Linked DNA regions of Canis lupus familiaris. The protein of the gene in region 1 interacts with the protein of each later gene in a biochemical or structural test. Links are inferred from orthologs where the notes say so. Each region holds a gene or a part of one and is shown in the gene's direction. Other genes may lie near its edges.

What was found. The genes of interacting proteins can lie anywhere in the genome.
Region 2: the proteins of IRAK1 (region 1) and IRF7 form a complex in vitro, tested with the Homo sapiens proteins (2 studies listed by BioGRID, with this or other methods). The link is inferred for Canis lupus familiaris from reciprocal best matches to the Homo sapiens genes IRAK1 and IRF7.
Region 3: of the proteins of IRAK1 (region 1) and PELI1, one has a biochemical effect on the other in vitro, tested with the Homo sapiens proteins (5 studies listed by BioGRID and IntAct, with this or other methods). The link is inferred for Canis lupus familiaris from reciprocal best matches to the Homo sapiens genes IRAK1 and PELI1.

What each region holds. Positions count from the first base shown.
Region 1 is NC_049260.1:123,043,273-123,046,915, reverse strand, and holds part of IRAK1 (interleukin-1 receptor-associated kinase 1), read left to right. Parts: intron 1-433; coding exon 434-701; intron 702-1,127; coding exon 1,128-1,193; intron 1,194-2,872; coding exon 2,873-3,109; intron 3,110-3,643.
Region 2 is NC_049239.1:26,059,122-26,062,864, reverse strand, and holds the start of IRF7 (interferon regulatory factor 7), read left to right. Parts: upstream 1-1,474; 5' UTR 1,475-1,495; coding exon 1,496-1,515; intron 1,516-1,590; coding exon 1,591-1,753; intron 1,754-1,827; coding exon 1,828-2,032; intron 2,033-2,339; coding exon 2,340-2,395; intron 2,396-2,493; coding exon 2,494-2,701; intron 2,702-2,873; coding exon 2,874-2,969; intron 2,970-3,047; coding exon 3,048-3,548; intron 3,549-3,633; coding exon 3,634-3,743.
Region 3 is NC_049231.1:65,153,277-65,157,019, reverse strand, and holds the start of PELI1 (E3 ubiquitin-protein ligase pellino homolog 1), read left to right. Parts: upstream 1-1,449; 5' UTR 1,450-1,600; intron 1,601-1,903; exon of another isoform or gene 1,904-1,946; 5' UTR 1,947-2,017; exon of another isoform or gene 2,018-2,166; intron 2,167-2,688; 5' UTR 2,689-2,857; intron 2,858-3,743. UniProt on the Homo sapiens protein: E3 ubiquitin ligase catalyzing the covalent attachment of ubiquitin moieties onto substrate proteins. Involved in the TLR and IL-1 signaling pathways via interaction with the complex containing IRAK kinases and TRAF6.

The sequences.
Region 1 (3,643 bases):
CTCCCTGCATGAAGCCTGCTTCTCCCTCTGCCTGGGTCTCTGCTTCTTTCTCTCTCTGCATCTATGAATAAATAAATAAAATCTTTAAAAAAAAAAAAGGTGAGGGCGGGACACAGCCAGGCCCCTGGGGCCTCCAAGAGCGGTAAGAGCAGAGACTCTGGCAAGGGAATGATGTTCCTGAATCTTCTGCCAGCAGGCAGCAGTGCCACTTGCTCTCTGAGGCCCAAGGGGCCCTGGGTCACTGAGTACCTGGCCCGCTGGGACAGGTGTGGAAGTAGAGGCCAAGGTGGGCCCCGCTGATGAGCGGGGACCAGACTGTGTGAGGGAGCCCCCCCACCGCACCCTGCGGCCGGGCCACCAGGCGGCGCCAGCCACTTTCCATGGGCCAGGTGCAGGCCGGCTGCAGCCCCAAGTCCAGTTTTGTCGGTGCCAGGCGACTGTGGGGTGCGGCGCTGGCCCGGGCCCACCCGACACCGCTCCTTCCCTCCGCAAGTTCCAACGTCCTCCTGGATGACAGACTGATGCCCAAACTGGGAGACTTTGGCCTGGCCCGTCTCAGCCGTTTTGCAGGGGCCAACCCCGGCCAGAGCAGCACAGTGGCCCGGACGCGGACGGTGCGCGGCACCCTGGCCTACCTGCCCGAGGAGTACGTCAAGACGGGGAGACTGGCCGTGGACACGGATACCTTCAGCTTCGGCGTGGTGAGCCACCGGCCCCTTTCCTGGCTTGGGGTGCGGGCGCTGTGGCCAAGCAAAGGCAGGAGGGCCCGGGTGGTGCCCTCCGAGGCCAGAGAGCGAGCTGGCAGGAAGCTGACCGTGGCGTCAGCTCCAGGGCCCCTCCGTCCCCGACACCGGCCCCCACCGCGGCCCCACATCTCGGCCCTTCCCTGCAAGTGGCCCTCCAAACCGCCGAAGCGTCAGCCCCATGACGCGTGGCTTCATCTTTGCTGGCAGCCAGTCCTCGGCGGCCCGTCCGAGGGCCGGGCCCCCGTCAGCCTCGGCCGCCTCGTTGGGCTGGGCGCCCCCGTCCACCCCACAAGCCCCGCCGCACATGGCCGTCCCTGCCAAGGCCCTGGGGCAGCACCATCCCAGGAGGCACTGCGACACTCTCCATCCTGCCCTCTCCAGGTTGTGCTGGAGACCCTGGCTGGCCAGAGGGCTGTGAGGACGCAGGGTGCCAAGACCAAGTATCTGGTGAGCGTTCTGAGCTGGGGCAGGGAGGGACGGAGAGAGGCAGAGGGGAGGCAGGGAAGCGCCACTCCTGATAACCAACAGGTGCAGCCCTGGAGGGTGGAATGATCTGGAGTGCAGTGCCCCACAGAAGCCAGCCCCTGCTACTGCTGACTCATCTCTGGAAGTAGGCAGGGCTCCAGACAGCTTCCCTTGACCTTGCTGAGGAAAAACCTGTCTTTCTTCTGCAGATGCTATGGGCCTTTCCAGCTCCCACCTGGGCTGGGAGTGGGGAAGGGGAGATCCCAGTGGGGCCAGAAGCGCAGGGGAGAAGAGAACACAGGGCCCTGGGGGAGGCTGCGGTGGGAAGTCAGGCGAGCTGAGGAGCGCTGCATACTGGGAGGGAGCTGCCCGGTTCTGTCTGGCTCTGTCTGGCTCACTGTGCGCTGGGACGGGGCCAGGAGGCGGGAGGCCTGGGTTCCGGTCCCGGCCCGACAGTGGTCTTGGAGCAGAGCCCTGCTGGTCGTCGCGGGGCCCATGGCCCCACATGCTAAGAGGCTTCATGCACCTGCCGTGCTCAGATGATTCCAGGGCCCGGAATGCGTTCGGTCAACGTTTGTTCTTTACGTTTTGGGGCTGGTTTACCTCCTGCTGCCCCTGATCCGGGCTTGGGGCTGTCTCTGTCCGTTAGCGAGGCTCGGAGGGTCAGGGCTGGAACTGGGGAGCCCCTCGGGAGCGCTTCCTTCACCTTCTCCATCCATCAGCACATCCCATTGGCACAGTGGGTGGAGCCAGGCAGGCTCCCCGGGGATCCTTCTCTGGTCTTCTTTGGACCCTTCCTCTTTGTTCTCCGTGCCAGGGCCTAAGCGAAGTTGCAAAACAAACAAGAGATAGTGTGGAAGGCTCTTTGCCTTCCCCCTGGGCTTGGGGCGGAGGCCCAATCCCTTAACCACAACTCCCTGGGTCCCGCCATCACCAGTGTCCTCTGTCCTCCAAGCTCAGCTAGCCCTGCTGCCTGCCCCAGCGCCTTGGTTCGAGCCTTTCCTCCTGCCCAAAAGGTCCCTTCCCACCCAGGTGCTTCCTCCTGGTCCTTCCAGTCTCAAAACACAAGATGGCCTGCAGTCCCAGCTGCACCCCTGGGTACCTCTCTGTGGGGTGCTCCCCCCCGCCCCCCCTGCCGCTCGCCTCTGACCTCTGGCCAATTTGTGCCTTCAGATCCCGGCGCCCAGGTTCCTACGTGCTACTTGCTCAGGCCCTGGTCAAAGCACCGTGGGCCTCTCCATGGAAGTTTTCTTTCTTTTTCTTTTTGAGATTTTATCGATTTATTTGAGAGGGAGAGTGAGCGAGAGAGGGGCAGGGTGATGAGCAGGGGGAGGCAGAGAGAAGCGGACTTCCCGCTGAGCAGGGAGCCGGGCGTGGGCCTCGATCCCAGCATCGAAGGCAGCCGCCCAGGCGCCCCTTCCTCGAAGCTTCCCGTTGGTTTCCAGGCTTGTTGGTGTCTCTTCCGCTCCAGGAGGTCAGCTCCGTGAAGGTGGGCCCAGGGTGCTCCGTCGCTGCATCCCTCAGGCCTGGGGCAGTGCTGGGCACGCCATGGGTGCTTAATCAGTGTCCAAAAAGCCCTCAGGAGTCAGTGATGAGAGCCCGGGGAATGGGGTGAAGGCGCGGCCCCGTCAGCGGCCACGCTCACAGTGTCTGTCCCACAGAAGGACCTGGTGGAAGAGGAGGCCGAGGAGGCCGGGGTGACCCTCAGAAGCACCCAGAGCACACTCCAAGCAGGCCTGGCCACGGATGCCTGGGCCGCCCCGATTGCCAGCCAGATCTGTAAGAAGCACCTGGACCCCAGGCCCGGGCCGTGCCCGCCGGAGCTGGGCTTGGTCCTGGGCCAGCTGGCTTGCTGCTGCCTGCACCGCCGGGCCAAGAGGAGGCCCCCCATGACCCAGGTAGCCCGGGGGGAGCACTGGTGACTGGCTGGCGGCCCCCGGGGCGGGGGGTGGCCCATCAGACACGGCGCCGCCCTGCAGCGAGCCCTGCGTGGCACCTGCCAGGCCTCTTTCTGGGGACAGCGTCTCCAGACGTTTTTCCACTTGCCCTTCAGTTCTGCTGGGGCGGCCCGAGCCCACCCGGCGGGGCGCGCAGGGAAAGGGCCTCGACGGCGCCCCGTGCTGGGTGCGCTGCGCCACTGCACCTGCGTCTCCTGCCCCTCACCTCTGTCCCCTGCCGTCGAGAATGCAGAGGCCCCTGTGAGGGCAGCAGGGCCGTGAGCTTAGCTTCCCAGGGGACAGAGAAGAGCCCTTCTCCGGCCCTGGTTTGAGCAGCCGTGACTGCTCGGCATTCCTCGTGACAGGGCTAAACAGGCGAGGGATGGAGCTTCCCCGGCTGCAGGGTAGGCCGGCCGCGCGGTCCCTGGGGCCCCCGGAAGCCCAAGCCCCGACACAGGCCACAGGTGACCCGGAGCGGCCCTGTGCCCCGACCGG
Region 2 (3,743 bases), on another chromosome or scaffold:
AAAAAACAAAAAAAAAACAAATGTCTTATTCTTAGGGACATGTGAATGTTCTTGTCTGGATAATTCTCATTAAGAATCCAAAAGCTGGGCAGCCCCCGTGGCGCAGCGGTTTAGCGCCGCCTGCAGCCCAGGGCGTGACCATGGAGACCCGGGATCGAGTCCCACATCGGGCTCCCCGCATGGAGCCTGCTTCTCCCTCTGCCTGTGTCTCTGCCTCTCTTTGTGTCTCTATGAATAAATAAATAAAATCTTAAAAAATCGAAAAGCCACCGAGTGGGGGGGGCGCCTGGCTGGTTCTTCGGTTCCCTGGGGACAGTGGATTTCTGCTCAGGTCGTGATGTCAGGGTCCCAGGATCCAGCCGGGGTGGGGGTGGGGTCCGCACTCAGCGGGAAGTCTTCTAGGGGACCCTCTCCCTCTGCCTGCCCCCGCCCCCCAGTCTGCAGCTGTCTTTCAAATAAATGTCTTAAAAAAATAATCAAAAAAAACCCCAAGAGGCGGCCTAGATGGCCGAGTTGGTTGAGCATCCCACTCTGATCTCAGCTGTTTTTTTCTTTTTTTTTTTTTTTTTTAATTCATCAGAGACCCAGAAAGACGCAGAGACATGGGCAGGAGGAGAAGCAGGCTCCCCGCGGGGAGCCCGATGCGGGACTCGATTCCGGGCCCCGGGGTCACGCCCGGAGTCCGGGGCACTCCCGTCTGTGGACCGGCCAGTGGGCTCCACTCTGGGCCCCCTCTACTTAACACTAAAAGAGAACCTGAACTATAGGGCTGCCACTTGCCCCACGCCCTCCTTCAACACCCACTTTCCTGGGAAAAAGGAAGAGCCTGGTTCTGTGTGGGGTCTTCAGCTGAGGCCCGGGTTGGTTGCCAGGGGCCCCCTGCCCCGTCCCGCCTCTGTGGGGGCGGGGTGCTCCTTGAGGCCCTCCCGCCGCCCCTGCACCGCCCGGCCCGGCCCGCACTCCGCAGCCTGCGCTGCCGTCAACACACGTGGGAACCTTCCGCCGCAGCGCTAGTCGGCTGCACCTGCGGCCGCGGCCGGCCCCCGGCTCGCCCCCGCCCCACCCCCGGCCCGCCCCCCGCCGGCCTCATAAAGGCGCGGGTCCCCAGCCCCACGGCGAGACGCACCTCCCCGCCCGGAGCCCCGCCGCGCAGGTGCTCGGAGGCCCGGCGCGTGCAGCGCGGGAGCAGCCCGGGCGGCGACGGGCCCGCGGAGCCGGGGCGGGCCCGAGGACAGGGGTCGCAGCGCCGGGGCCCCGGGGCGCGAGCGCGGAGGCCTCCCCGCGGCTTAGGTTTCGCTTTCCCGGGCGCGCGCGGTTTCGCTTTCCCGCCCCCGGGCACGCCCGCGCAGGCGTCGGTGCCGCTGTGGTCCCCGCGGGCCCCGCCAGCGCCCTCCCGCCCGGGCCGCGCCGCCCGCACCTGTGCTCACAGCAGCGCCGCCGCGGCCGGAACCGCACACCCGCAGCAGCCCGCCGCCCGCCGCCCGCCGCCCGGGCCATGGCCGTGCCCGCGGACAGGTGAGCGCCCGCCCGCCGCCGGGGTGCGTGGCCACCGGCCTCGCCCGCACCCTGACTGCCGGCCGCCGCCCGCAGGGGGGCCCCGCGCCCGCTCTTCGCAGACTGGCTCCTGGGGGAGGTGAGCAGCGGCCGCTACGAGGGCCTGCGGTGGCTGGACGCCGGCCGCACCCGCTTCCGCGTGCCCTGGAAGCACTTCGCGCGCAAGGACCTGGGGGAGGCCGACGCCCTCATCTTCAAGGTGGGCCGCGGCCCGGCGGGCAGGGGGGCTGCGGCCGGGCGGGCCCCAGGCTCACACCTTCCACCCCTCCCCAGGCCTGGGCGGTGGCCCGAGGCAGGTGGCCGCCCGGCGGCGGCCGTGACCAGCTGGCCTGCGAGGCCGCACTCCGCGCCGGCTGGAAAACCAACTTCCGCTGTGCCCTGCGCAGCACCCAGCGCTTTGTGATGCTCCAAGACAACTCCGGGGACCCCACTGACCCACATAAAGTGTACGCACTGAGCTCCGAGCCGGGGTGCAGAGGTGAGGAACCCCACGGCAGGGCCGCCGTAGGGGAGCCGGGCGCACAGGCCCGACACGGTGCGGCGAGGGCGCTGGGACCTCGCCCTGTACCGGAGCACATCCCTGGGGCAGGCTCGGGGTTTTGAGACAGACCTGAGAGAGGCAGGTGCCAGGTGGTTGGGGACGGGGGGGGGGGGGGGGGGGGGGGGGGGGGGGGGGGGGAGCTGACTGGGCCTGCTGGGGTGGATTAGTGGTGGAGCCACCCTGCTCTGAGGGCCTACCCAAGGACACATCATGTCCACTGCAGTCTCACCCCATTCTCCCTCAGGAGCTGCGGCGATTAACCATGGGGAGAAGGCGGGTGAAGACACCCCACCACTGATGGTAAGCCGGTTCTGCCCCCGGTGCTCGTGTTCCCAGGTGGGGGCTGCCCTCCTTCCTGGGCTGGGGAGCTGCTTATGCTGGCCCTGTCTTCCCTGCAGGGTGGGCTCCCTAGGCCATGCCTGGGAGGAGATGCTGGCCAGAGGCTGGGGCACAGTCTGAGCCCTGAGCCCTGTGCCCCATGCGCCCCTTTGGGCCAAGCTGGCAATGCCGAGGATCTCTTGCTCCAGGCCCTACAGCAGAGCTGCCTGGAGGACCATTTGCTGGAAGCTGCATGGGGAGTGGATGCAATCACTCCAGGCACTCCTGGTGAGGCCGGCCAGATGGGGATGCTCTGCCTTGCAGGGCTCTGTGGGGGGGGGGGGGGGGGGGGGGGGGGGGGGGAGGAGCAGGGAGGACAGCACGGTCCTCGTGGAGAGGGAGGAGGATGTGCAGTAGAGGTGGTGCGAGCCACAGCTGTGCCCATTGTCGTGCTGCTCAGGCCCAGAGCTCCCTGACATGGAGCCATACCAGCCACGGGCAGCAGAGATGGCCCCAAGCCCTGAGCCCCAGGTCCTGCACCAGGCCCGGATGACAGGTGAGAGGAGCCCATGGGAGTGTGAAGGACGGAGGGCTTGGGGGGCCAGGTGCCAGTCAAGCCCTCCTTTCCTTCCAGATACAGGCCCAGCCTCGGAGCCGTGGCAGCCCCCCCAAGAGGTGGAGCCTTGCGCCCCAGTGGCAGGGGAGCAGGTCCTGGCCAGGCCCGGCTGCTCACAGCCAGGACTGCAGGCAGAGCTCAGGGCCCTGGATGTGACCATCATGTACAAGGGCCGCACGGTGCTGCAAGAGGTGGTGTGGCATCCAAGCTTTGTGCTCCTGTACGGGCCCCCCAGCCTGGCCACCAGGGCCACTGAGCCCCACTGCGTGGCCTTCCCAAGCCCGGCCAAGCTCGCGGACCAGAAGCAGCTTCACTACACAGAGAAGCTGCTGCAGCACGTGGCCCCTGGCCTGCAGCTGGAGTTACGGGGGCCGGGGCTATGGGCCCGGCGCCTGGGCAAATGCAAGGTCTACTGGGAGGTGGGAGGGCCCCTGGGCTCGGCCAGCCCCTCCACAGCCCCCCGCCTGCTGCAGAGGAACCAGGACACCCCCATCTTCGACTTCAGCACGTTCTTCCGAGGTCAGTGACGTGCCTATCCGGGGGCCGATGCTGCCCCACCCCCTCCCGTCCCACCGGGCCCTGCTCACCAGGTCCTGTCCTGCAGAGATGGCCGAGTTCCGGGCTCGCCGGCGTCGGGGCTCCCCATACTACACCATCTACCTGGGCTTTGGGCAGGACCTGTCGGCTGGAAGGCCCAAGGAGAAGAGCCTGGTC
Region 3 (3,743 bases), on another chromosome or scaffold:
TCCAGCAGTATCCACCCGGGCTGACTTCCACTCTGTTTTACATTCAGCTGTCCTTTGCCAGTTTCGTCCAGCCAAAAGACAAAATAAAAACAGTAACACTTACTGTTTAATACATGCCTGGCACTGTTCAGGCATTTTACATACATATGATACACACAAATACATATATAAAAATACATGTGACCACCATCCATCAACATACATCATATACGATTAATATATAATGTTATCATATCATATTATATATACACATGTCTATAAACTCTGTGTATACGGATCACTTCATTCTCAAACCAAGGCTATGAGATAGGTGGTATCAGATCCATCATGCAGCAGAAGAAACGGAGGCAAAAGCAGCTCACCTGCCACATTCACGCAGACTGTAAACTGGTGAAACTGGAATTTTAATTGAGGATGCCTGGCTTTTCGCCCCTATGCTACACTACTGAGTAAAGGATGCCGGGCAGGAGGGGAGATTGAAACAAGATGGCTTAATGATCCTTTTTTATATCTATAGATTTTTTTTAAAGATTTTATTTATTCACGAGAGACAAGAGAGAGAGGCAGAGGAAGAAGCAGGCTCAATGCAGGAGCCCGATGTGGGAGTCGATCCCGGGACCATGGGATCATGCCCTGAGCCAAAGGCAGATGCTCAACCGCTGAGCCACCCAGGCATCCCATGGCTTGATGATCTTAAAAAAAAAAAAAAAAAAAAGTGCGGAGCAGTTGTAACCAGCCTGGGAAGCAGAAAAAAAAAGTCTCCACTGGAGAGAATTGCAAAGGGGGACAGAAAGCCTACAATTAATCACATTAAGGGGGGGGGGGGTCCTGTCTTCTTTAAAAGGGACAAGCTCCTGGAGAGGATAATGCCTGGATTTTCATCAATGGAATTTCCCATGCATGGCAGGTGGGAGGCCCCCGGAGATTTGCAGCTGGGGGGGTGGGGGGGAGCCCTGCCTCAGAAAAGTCCACTGGTCTTGGCAGAGCCCCTCCCCCGCCCGCAGGGTGAGGCCCCGGGCAGGACGCGGCGTCAGCCCCACGCACAAACGCCAACTGTTCGCCCGCGCAGCGGTCCCTGCGGCTCCCTGCGGCTCCCTGCGGCTCCCTGCGGCTCCCTGCGGCTCCCTGCGGCTCCCTGCGGCTCCCTGCGGCGGGGGCGGAGCCCGCGGGGGCCACGCCCCAGATGAATATTCAAGCGGCCCCGCCTGCGAGCCCGAGCCCGGGACCCCGGCGCCCCTCAAGGGGTTAGGCGGGGGAGGGAGGTGGGAGGAAGGGCCTGCCCGGGAGGACGGCGGGGGAGGGAACGGCCGGGACCCGGGCGCGGGGCGGCTGGCGCGGGCGAGGTCGGGCGAGGTCGGGCGAGGTCGGGCTGGTGAGGGCCTGGGTGCACCTTGCGGCCCCGCCCCACCCACGGGCACCAACCACGGGCACCCGAGCGCTCTTCCTAGCCCTGGGAACCGTGCAAACCAAGAGAGGGCTTCGGCTGTGTTCACTGCTACTTCGTGACTCCTCTGTGTTAATAACGTGCCTCTCTGCACACGGACCGGGTGCAGCAGCTATGTTAATTTGTGCACTCTCATGATCTAATCTACGACTTTGGGTGGGTGTCAGTCTTTGCCAGAGGCTGGAAACTTTCAACTTTTTTTCTTTTTAAGAGTTTATTTATTTATTCATGAAAGACACACAGAGAGAGGCAGAGACACAGGCAGAGGGAGAAGCAGGCTCCATGCAGGGAGCCCGACGTGGGACTCGATCCCAGGACTCCAGGATCACGCCCTGGGCCAAAGGCAGGCGCTAACCGCTGAGCCACCCAGGGATTCCAAGGCTGGAAACTTTTAACTAGACTTTTATAATACATATACTCTTAGATCTAATTGGGACATAATTGGGGAATTAGCCATACCTGTTGATGCTCATATTTGACTCTATTATTTTTATTCATGGAGAAATGTCCCAGCACAGATCATCTGAAAGAGTAGATCGCTCCGAAAAGCATTTCATGGACTTCTAATACCAGGTAGGTTTTTGGGAACGTGCATTCAGTCTTTTGTTGTTAAGTCGGTAAGAGGTCACTTTAGAATTCGTTTTAAGAGAAAACACTGGGAACTTTGTTGAGTGCATCTTTTCCATTAATCCCTCCATTACGAGAGAGGCTCTGCTTCTTACCTACAGATTGGAAGTGGACCAAATAACATTACTGAGAGGAAACCAACGAATAAAAGGAAAGAATGTAGTGTGAAAGCACTTAGCTATGAGGGCACACTCCTCGCCCATCTTACTTCCATCCCAGAGAATTGAACACACATGCAGATGTAAAGGTACAACCACTGTAAGCAGCCATGAGACCTTATGGAAAGTAGGATAGGGACCAAAGGACACAAACAAATGTCCCAATAATCTAGATTCTGGAAATCATAGACTGATACATTTACCATTAATCCCCAGCAAAATTCTAGATTGGATAGCTAAGCAGGCAGCTAGTGAGCACTTAAAAAAGATGACCACTAGGAACCAACAAGAACTTGACCAAGAACTGGTGAAGCCAAAGTTTATTTCCTTCTTATGTCTTTTTTAAAAATAAAGTGCCTGATTAATATATCAGAATACCAAAAAAATAGAACATCTTGACAAAAGGATAGCCTGTTTATCTTCCCCCACCTTTTTTTTCTTTTTTCAATATTGGATCAGGGGTCAAAGTGAGCAAATTGAGCATTTGGCAGCCAAAAAAGTAAACTCGAGAGCCAGAAAGAATTGGGTTTGATTCCAAGCTCTACAACCTACTAGTTGTGTGACACTGGGCACCTCTGAGTCTCACTTTTCACAGCTGCAAAATGGGAATAGAATATCTACTGGACAGGTAAGAAAGAAAATACAGAGTATGCAACACGAGTTCTCAAGAGAGGGCAACTATAATTAAGATATGATGTAAAATGTAAAAATTTAAATATAAATTCAGGAAAGAGAAGGACTGAATTCAGTGATTCATACACAAATATTTTTTTAATTTACTGAAAGTTCAGTGTGAAATAACCAAGTAACATGTTTCAAGTGCAGACTGAAACTTATTAATATAAGTATGTGCAAACCCAAAAGGAAGAGTCCCAATTGATTCCATTTGGTCAGATCCTATCTAAAATTCTTTGTCCCTTTCTGAGTAGGATACTTGAAGTGTAGCAAGGAGACATTAAACAACATTTGGGATAGTGGGAGACCCAGAAACCACAATATCTAACAAATAGTCAAAAGAAACAGTGGTGTTTATCTAGGAGAAGAGATTAAATGATAGCTGCCTTCTGATATTTGAAGAGCTATGATGTGCAATAGGGTATAAACTTGGTCTGCACAACTCCAAATAATAGAATTGGGACAAATGATTGGAAGTCGCAATGAGATCGATTTTGGACTCAACATGTAAGGTGTTCAACAATGCAAGGAACATTCTTGAAAAATAGTAAGCTCACAATTACTGAAAGTATTCTCACAGTGGGAAGAGGCCAGCTCTCAAAGATAGTGTGATAAGGGATTTTTGTACTGGAAAAGAGAGTGGCCTACTTTTAGATTAGAGTTAGTAATATACCATATGTATGCCAACCTCTACCCAGCCATGGCAGACATGACTAATCAATGATAGTTTTTTTTTCCCTGCTGAACTAAGCTTAGCCTGGCAATCTTTTTCCATGCATGCTCCAAGCTGTCACCACCAACTAGTTCATCAAAGTTGACAACCCACCTAACCCAGATGA